Linked DNA regions of Canis lupus familiaris. The protein of the gene in region 1 interacts with the protein of each later gene in a pairwise test. Links are inferred from orthologs where the notes say so. Each region holds a gene or a part of one and is shown in the gene's direction. Other genes may lie near its edges.

Region 1 (3,812 bases):
AGACTGAGATAAACAGGAGGATGAGGCATGATCAGATTAGCCCAGTCTCTAAAAATAATTAAAATACACATCAAGTTTCTTGCTGCAGTTGTCCTACAGGATCTAGCCTCTGCCCATACCTCTGACCTCATTCTTTTCTACTCTCCCTGTGCTCCCAGTGTTCCACCTACACAGGCCATCTTTACACCCCCCAGCATGCCATATTTTTTCTACCTGTTTCTTCTTTCCTTTGTTTGTACTTGCTCTTCTGAGAGGCGGCATGGCAAAATGGTTAATAGCATGAGCTGTGGATCCAGATTCCCTCCTCCTGACACTTTCAAGTCTTGTGATTATGGGCAAGTTATTTAACTTGTCTGTGCTTTGGTTTCCTCATTTCTGAGTGGGGGAATGATAGCATTTACTTCATAGGGGTGTTGGGGATTAAAATTTATTTTAATTAAAAAAATTAACAGTTAGGCCTGGAACAGCTTCTGGTATGCAATAAAGACTCAATAAATGTTAATACAATTTTTTCCTTCTGTTTGAAGCTCTTTTTCCCTATACCTCTACATGGTTGCTATGTTCTCATCATTCAGTTGTCAGCTTGAACCTATTTGCTCAGACATCCTAGCTAAAGAAGCAAAACCCCACTGGCTTTCTCTCATTTGTCCCATTATTCTGTTTTATTTCATGATAGCGTTCATCACTATTTGAAATTATTGTATTATTCAGCTCATTCCCTCTCCCCCATCCCCTGAGGGATTTGTTGACTTGTTCCTTATTAGATTTTTAGCTTCTGAAGAGTGGCAGATACTTTGTAGGCACTCAAGAAGTTTTTGTGCCACCTCATTGTCCTGAAACCATTCCAAGCCCTCCATTCTGATCAACATTTGGTGGCAAGGTGATAGGCCTGAGGCAGACAGAATCCAGGTCTTTGTATATTGGTCTGTTGGCTCCTGTAAATCAAGTGGCCGCTTGTTTTTGTGTTTGCTGGGACACAGCTACATCCATTTTTAAAATTTATTGTCTGGCTGCTTTCTGGCTATAACCACAGAGTTGAGTGGTTGTGCTGAAGACCCTATGCCTCACAAAGTCTGAAATATTTTACTCTCTGGTCCTTTGTGGAAAAAATTTTCTGACCCCTGATTTAGGTACCTAGAAAAGAAAATGAGAAGGAAACACCCCCCAAAACAACAGATGGTTACTTTGGATAGCAGGATTATAGGTCATTTTAGTTTTTAATCTTTATACTTTGTATTTTATTGTATACCAATTTCACTTGGAAACAAAATAGCCTTCCTTATAAATACTAATTTTGAGGTATTTAGAGCACATTCCTTGATGAATTCTTTATATGTGCTTTTTTTTCCTTAGTGCTGCTTTTGACACAAAAACTGGGTTACGTGTGGCAGTCAAGAAGCTCTCCAGACCATTTCAGTCCATTATTCATGCCAAAAGGACCTACAGAGAACTGCGGTTACTGAAACATATGAAACATGAAAATGTAAGTTATTCATACAAGGAAGAATAAATGCTGCTCTTGAATAGACTGGGGGAAAAATGTGTTCTGATTACTGAAATGAGAATACATGAGAATGCATCGAACTTTGGACCATTCTTCTGGTACCAGGGTGTTTGTGGCCACTGTGTTATGCCAGGTAGCCATCCAAAGCCTTGGGAGTTCATGGGTACATCTTCCTGGAGTTTGAGTTTTACTAAGACAGTTTTAGAGGGAAAGCATTAGCCAACAAAAATAAAAGCATTTTTAAGAGAAAATACTACAAAAATAATTTTGCATTCTTTACCAGATTTACTTAATATTGTAGTGTCCAAATATGGGACTCTAAGGTTGTTTTGTGTTTTAATGGGTTATTTCAGTGGAGAAGTTTGAGACAACTTGCCTTAGGCCCACTGAATGCCCTATCAAAGGTGACTATTAATTTATGGGTGATTTGATATAATTTTCCTTTTTAATCTTTTGCAGTATAGCTTTTCCAGAGTCAGGTATTTTAATAACTGTGACAAAGACATTGTTTAAGTTAAATATAACCCTTTCTTTTCTGTCAATTTGAAAATTTGAGAGCAATGCCATCCTGCAAAAAAACCCTAATACAATATATAAAGGGATGCAATTGGAATAATAGCTGAAAGTGAAAAGACAGTTGACAAAGGATACTTACTTTCCTAAATTTCAAAATCAAGTTAAAAAGAATTTATTTGATTGCTGTATGAAAGAAACTGTAAAATTTGTAGCATTGTAGAAACAATGACCATAGAGATTTTAGAGTCATTTGACCGTATTGATTGTTACTGTATAGAAAAAATATTCAAAATGTGTAAATTTATTACTTGGCTATTCAGATCTTTTCTGTTTTAATAATTAAACTTTTAAGAATATCTTTAAATTATAGATAAATGATACTTTATTAATATACAGTTGTTTAACAAGGTACAAATTTTTTCTAAATTGGGAGCATTGAGACTTGAATTTATTTATTTATTTATTTACTTATTTATTTATTTATTATTTTTAAAGATTTTATTTATTCATGAAAGACACACACACACACAGAGGCAGAGACATAGGCAGAGGGAGAAGTAGGCTCCATGCAGGAACCCAACGTGGGACTTGATCCTGGGTCTCCAGGATCAGGCTCTAGGCTGAAGGCGGCGCCAAACTGCTGAGCAATCCGGGCTGCCCCTTGAGACTTGAATTTAGAATTGGATTACAGAAATGGTGTTGTAATCACAGGAGTAGCTTATTTATTTTCATGGTTTATTTTAATTGCATACTATTGAGCAAATTCTGTTTTTCACAGGTAACCTTTATACCTAGGTATAATTTTTATGTGCATTCATGTGCAAAGCTGAGTTTTTAAAAAGTTCAGTAGAGCTGCAGCCTTCCTAATCAGTGACATGTTTACAAGAAGTTGAGATATATGGAAAAAGCTAGCAGGAGAAGCTTTATTCCAAGGTCTGCATACAATCAAGGTGGCCTGGTAGCTTAACTGATGTGTTTACATTTGGTTTTTAACACAGTTGAGTGTGTATGCTGTTTTTCATTACACATTAATAAATATGACAAAGACATTATCATAGCTTTTTAAATAAGAAAACTTTGAAAATGGAATGCAAGCGAAACATTTATGGAACCCCAAAGCACTTTCAGGAGGCCCTGGGTTCCCACTGATGTTGCCAGTGCTCATTTACAAACATCTGGTTTAGATTACCAGCGCTATACTTTATTGTTCTGCTTTTCTTCATAGACCATTTAAGCCAATGTTTAGGGCAAAGATTATTTTGGGTTATCTGAATCCATGCCTTGGCTTTTCTAGTGATCATAAGAAACAACCTTATTTAGTTTATTATGCTCTAATTTTCTGTAATGAGATAACTTCAAAATGTGTCTTCTGTGGTATTAGGTTGGTTATGTGTGGGTCACTCTCTATTTGTAGAAATGAAGATGCCACACTGATGGGATACAATTGTTCTAATTTAGGAAGGGCTACAAGAATCTTTATTTTTTAAAGATTTATTTATACATGAGAGACACAGAGAGAGAGAGAGAGAGGCAGAGACACAGGCAGAGGGAGAAGCAGGCTCCATGCAGGGATCCCGATGTGGGACTCCATCCAGGAACTCTGGGATCACGACCTGGGCTGAAGGGAGACATTCAACCACCAAGCCACCCAGGTGTCCCATACAATAACCTTAAAAAAAAAAAAAAAAAAAAAGGGCGGGCTGATGGGGTGCCTGGGTGGCACAGTCAGTAGAGTATCCGACTCTTGGTTTTGGTTCAGGTCATAATCTTGGGGTCATGGGATTGAGCTCTG
Region 2 (4,605 bases), on another chromosome or scaffold:
ATATGATGAATGCACTTGGTTTAAAAAAAAGGGGGGGGGCAGATAAAGTTGGTATGCTGTGAAAAGTCAGCAGCTGTAACTAACATTTTATGATTCAATGCAAAAAATATGTTGAGTTCCTCAGCTGAGTAAGTAGTATAAACAAAGATTTTTTTTTTTTCTTTTTAAAGATACAGGGAGAGTGTTTCCATTATCTGGAGGACCTTTTTGCAGTCCTTAATGTTCACCTAAAGGTAGAAAACGCCCTTAAGAAAAAGCACTCAGTCCTGAACTTTATTCTAGAATGTAGGCAGAAAGTTTGAGCGTGTCTGAACAGAAGCTAAACAAGGCAAATGCAGAAGTTGCGCTGGTGATACAGTCCCCAACTCAACGACATAGGGTCCTTGAAATCCCCATCCCATCCCCCCTGCCCGCGGAGAGGGGAAGAAACCGCAGAATGTTCCTGACTCTGCACCCTGGCCGGATGGCGCAATATTTATGTTTGTGTACCTAGCACGTCGGCGCCGCCCTCCCCCGCCCTCCCCCGCCCCGGAGGCCCGCCCTCGGACTCGGCGCGCGAGGGGCCGCTCGGGGTCTTCCCAAACGTCAGCCATGGACTCCTAAAGCCACGTAGGACTGGATTTCGAATCCAACCCACATAGATGGCGAGAGTCAGGGCGTGGGGATCGAAGCCCCTGAGGCCAGCGCATAGTAGACATCCACACAGTATTTATGGACTAGAGAGATGGAGCAGCTCAACCGGTCTTTAAGCGAACGTGGCCAGAAACATGCCCGGTGACCCCTGGAGGGCGCTGTCGAGCCACGCCGGGGGAGGGGTGTCGCCTCCTCTAACGCGGAACCCCGCAATCCACGACGGCACCTTCAGCCCCGACATTTGCGACTTCATTCCCCTTACAGACCCGCCTTTCTCGGCTCAAAGTCCTATAGGAACGACATGATTAGGGATCACTTACCCCAGCGGGGTTCGACTGGAAGGCACTTTACTTGTTAAATGTTTCCCTTAAGTAACAGGAGAGCAAGTCTGGGAAACGAGAGAACACTCCCCGGAACCTCACCCCGGCTCACCTCGGTTGTCCTTAATAGGCACATTCCATGGGCAAACTTATTACAGTTTCTCCCACCCTCATCTCAGGTTCCTCTCTGTCCCCCCACCCCCAGCATTGTGACACCGGGTGAAGTAAATCGCTTCTGGGGAACCTGATTTTCCGCGCCTACGCGTGACGAGGAAATGAGCGAAAGGGGGCACACGTGTATGCAAAAGCGCAGGAAGCCCCTTCCCACTCGGGGCGGCGGCGGCGGCGGCGGCGGCGCGGGCGGGGCGGGGGCGGGGGGGGGAGGCCGCGGCCTGCCGCCCCCTCCCCCAGCCAGCCGCTCGGATCCCGGAGGCCAGCTCTTGGCTGGCAGCGCGCCCGCCACCTCTGCTCCCCTTGGGCCCGGAGAGCGGCGCAGGCCGGATCCTCGGAGACCCGGCAGGCGCAGGCCGGACGGCCGGACCGGGGCCCGAGCCAGCCGGCGGCCAGCGGATCCCGCTCCGAGGCCGATGACGTCTTCGCCTCTGGCTCCGCCGGCGCCAAGCCGGGCAGGGCGGGTGACGTCACCGCGGGCCACGTGACCACCATTCAAACAAACAACTCCCCTCCCCCTGCGCGCCCGCCCCGCCCCGCCCCGCCCCCAGAGAGGCCACATATAAACGCGTCCCCCCGGGCCGAGCTCGCTGCGAAGGACGCTGGGCTGTGCGGAGTGTGGCCGGGGCCGGAGGGGCAGTCGGGGGAGCAGCAGAGACGCCGAGGCGGCCGAGGGCCCCGCACGACGCCCCCTCGCGCAGTCTTAGGGCAGTTTGGGGTCCCGCACAGAGAGAAGCAGGGTCGGGCTTTTCCTCGAAAGCCTCTGCCCTGCCCTTGGCTTCCGAGGACAGAGCCCCGCGGACAGTGCGGCACGCTGGGGGCGCTAGGGCCGGCCATGGTCATGGACGTGGGCGCCCTGGACGCCGGAGGCCTGCGGACGCTGCTCCGGGAGCGCGCGGCGCAGTGCCTGCTGCTGGACTGCCGCTCCTTCTTCGCTTTCAACGCGGGCCACATCGCCGGCTCCGTCAACGTGCGCTTCAGCACCATCGTGCGGCGCCGGGCCAAGGGCGCCATGGGCCTGGAGCACATCGTGCCCAACGCCGAGCTGCGCGGCCGCCTGCTGGCCGGCGCCTACCACGCCGTGGTGCTGCTGGACGAGCGCAGCGCCGCCCTGGACGGCGCCAAGCGCGACGGCACCCTGGCCCTGGCCGCGGGCGCGCTCTGCCGCGAGGCGCGCGCCGCGCGAGTCTTCTTCCTCAAAGGTACGCCCCCCGGAGGCGCCCGCGCCCCGCGCCCCGCGCCCCGCGCCGGCCGTCCCCCAGCCCCTGCGGGCCGCTCCGCCTGGAGCGCGCGGGCGCCCGAGCCCTGTTCCGGGGACTTGTCCTGGGCTTTGTTCCGCTTTAAGAACAAAGACTTGCCTGGGCCTCTCCGGGGTAAAACTTGAGCCCGGGTGGGCGGGCGGGGGTGTTGGATGAAGGTGCCCTGTCCCCGAGGATGCTAATGGAAACAACTGTGTCTCTTTGTCTTCCCAGGAGGCTATGAAGCTTTCTCAGCTTCCTGCCCGGAGCTGTGCAGCAAACAGTCGACCCCCATGGGGCTCAGCCTTCCTCTGAGTACTAGCGTCCCTGACAGCACCGAATCCGGGTGCAGTTCTTGCAGCACCCCACTCTATGACCAGGTTAGTAGGGGACCGTGCCAGAGGGGGTAAAGAACAGCTGGAAGAGCGGTGCTAGGGACAATATACAAAGTAACTTGCTGGTTTGTAAGGGACAGGACGCGGGGCTAGTAGTTTATCCCGCGGTTAAGCGGTCTGATGGAGCGGAGTCTAACTGCTGGCACTACAGAAATGAACTTGAGGCAAATGGATTTAGCCCCCTACTTGTTTATGCTCCAACAACAGGGCTGAATTCACCCGGTATCTGAAACTGACTTTTCCAGCAGGGAGTTTTTGTGGGTGTGGGCATTGACTTTGAGCAAAACCTGACCAGTGTTGGATATTTCTGGATTTCAGGGTGGCCCGGTGGAGATCCTCCCCTTTCTGTACCTGGGCAGTGCCTATCATGCTTCCCGCAAAGACATGCTGGACGCCTTGGGCATCACTGCCTTGATCAACGTCTCAGCCAATTGTCCCAATCATTTTGAGGGTCACTACCAGTACAAGAGCATCCCCGTGGAAGACAACCATAAGGCGGACATCAGCTCCTGGTTCAACGAGGCTATTGACTTCATAGGTAAATGGACAGATGCCTGGGACTTCTGCCTTGCTTCCACATTTTAGTCACTGAGCCCAACTCTGTGGCAAGGACTAAAATGACCTCCGCCTGAGCTTTCTCCATACATTCAATAAGTTGGTGCAGGCAGCCGTCCCTGCAAAGTCCCATTTAACAAATTAGCAAACAGGCTCAGAAAGTTTTTTTTTTTTTTTTTTTTTGAGGCTCAGAAAGTTTGAACCGACTTCCCGTCCAGGATCACTTCTGCTTTGTGGAGATGCCTGGTCTTGGTTTAAATCCCATGCTATTTTTTGCACATGCCTTCGTTGCCTCCACAGAGCACTGTGTGCTGGCTTGTGGTTCTCTGGACAGGACACACATAATTCTTAGGCACCCTATGCCTGGGGTTGGGGTTGTACCCCTAAGCTCTTGAGTAACCAGCCACGCTTTGTTTTCCAGACTCCATCAAGAATGCTGGAGGAAGGGTGTTTGTCCACTGCCAGGCAGGCATTTCCCGATCAGCCACCATCTGCCTCGCTTACCTCATGAGGACTAACCGAGTCAAGCTGGATGAGGCCTTTGAGTTTGTGAAGCAGAGAAGAAGCATCATTTCCCCCAACTTCAGCTTCATGGGCCAACTGCTGCAGTTTGAGTCCCAAGTCCTGGCTCCACACTGCTCAGCAGAGGCCGGGAGCCCTGCCATGGCTGTGCTGGACCGCAGCACCTCCACCACTACCGTCTTCAACTTCCCTGTCTCCATCCCCGTCCACTCCACGAACAGTGCGTTGAGCTACCTGCAGAGCCCCATTACGACCTCTCCCAGCTGCTGAAAGGCCACGGGAGGTGATCTCCAACCCCGCTGGGACTCTAGGCTCCTTGAGGAGAAATGCAGTAACTCTGGGGAGGGGCTTCTGAGGGCTGGTCCTTATTTATTTAATTTCACCCCGAGTTCCACTGGGTTCCTAAGCAGTCATAGTGATGATGTAGCATCAAGATGTTTGCTGAACTCAGCACATTTGGGACCAATATATAGTGGGTACATCAAGTCCCTCTGAGAAAAAGGGGCAGAAAAGAAAGGACTCATTGTATGAGCCAGTTTCTTTTTGCTTGCTCCTGTTTTTTGTAGGAACTCTTCATGCTTGACATACCTACCAGTATTATCATTCCTGACGACACATACCTATGAGAATATACCTTATTTATTTTTGTGTAGGTGCTCTGCCTTCACAAATGTCCATGTCTACTTCTAGAAGAACCAAATACCTCAATTTTTTTGTGTTTGAGTACTGTAATATCCTGTAAATACATCCTAAGCAGGTTTGTGTTCAGCA

Evidence for each region.
Region 2: the proteins of MAPK14 (region 1) and DUSP1 interact in binary tests that used the Homo sapiens proteins (3 or more experiments, as listed by UniProt). The link is inferred for Canis lupus familiaris from reciprocal best matches to the Homo sapiens genes MAPK14 and DUSP1.

The regions. Positions count from the first base shown.
Region 1 is NC_049233.1:5,351,582-5,355,393, forward strand, and holds part of MAPK14 (mitogen-activated protein kinase 14), read left to right. Parts: intron 1-1,353; coding exon 1,354-1,483; intron 1,484-3,812. UniProt on the Homo sapiens protein: Serine/threonine kinase which acts as an essential component of the MAP kinase signal transduction pathway.
Region 2 is NC_049225.1:40,473,029-40,477,633, forward strand, and holds the start of DUSP1 (dual specificity protein phosphatase 1), read left to right. Parts: upstream 1-1,712; 5' UTR 1,713-1,959; coding exon 1,960-2,326; intron 2,327-2,596; coding exon 2,597-2,742; intron 2,743-3,075; coding exon 3,076-3,295; intron 3,296-3,733; coding exon 3,734-4,104; 3' UTR 4,105-4,605. UniProt on the Homo sapiens protein: Dual specificity phosphatase that dephosphorylates MAP kinase MAPK1/ERK2 on both 'Thr-183' and 'Tyr-185', regulating its activity during the meiotic cell cycle.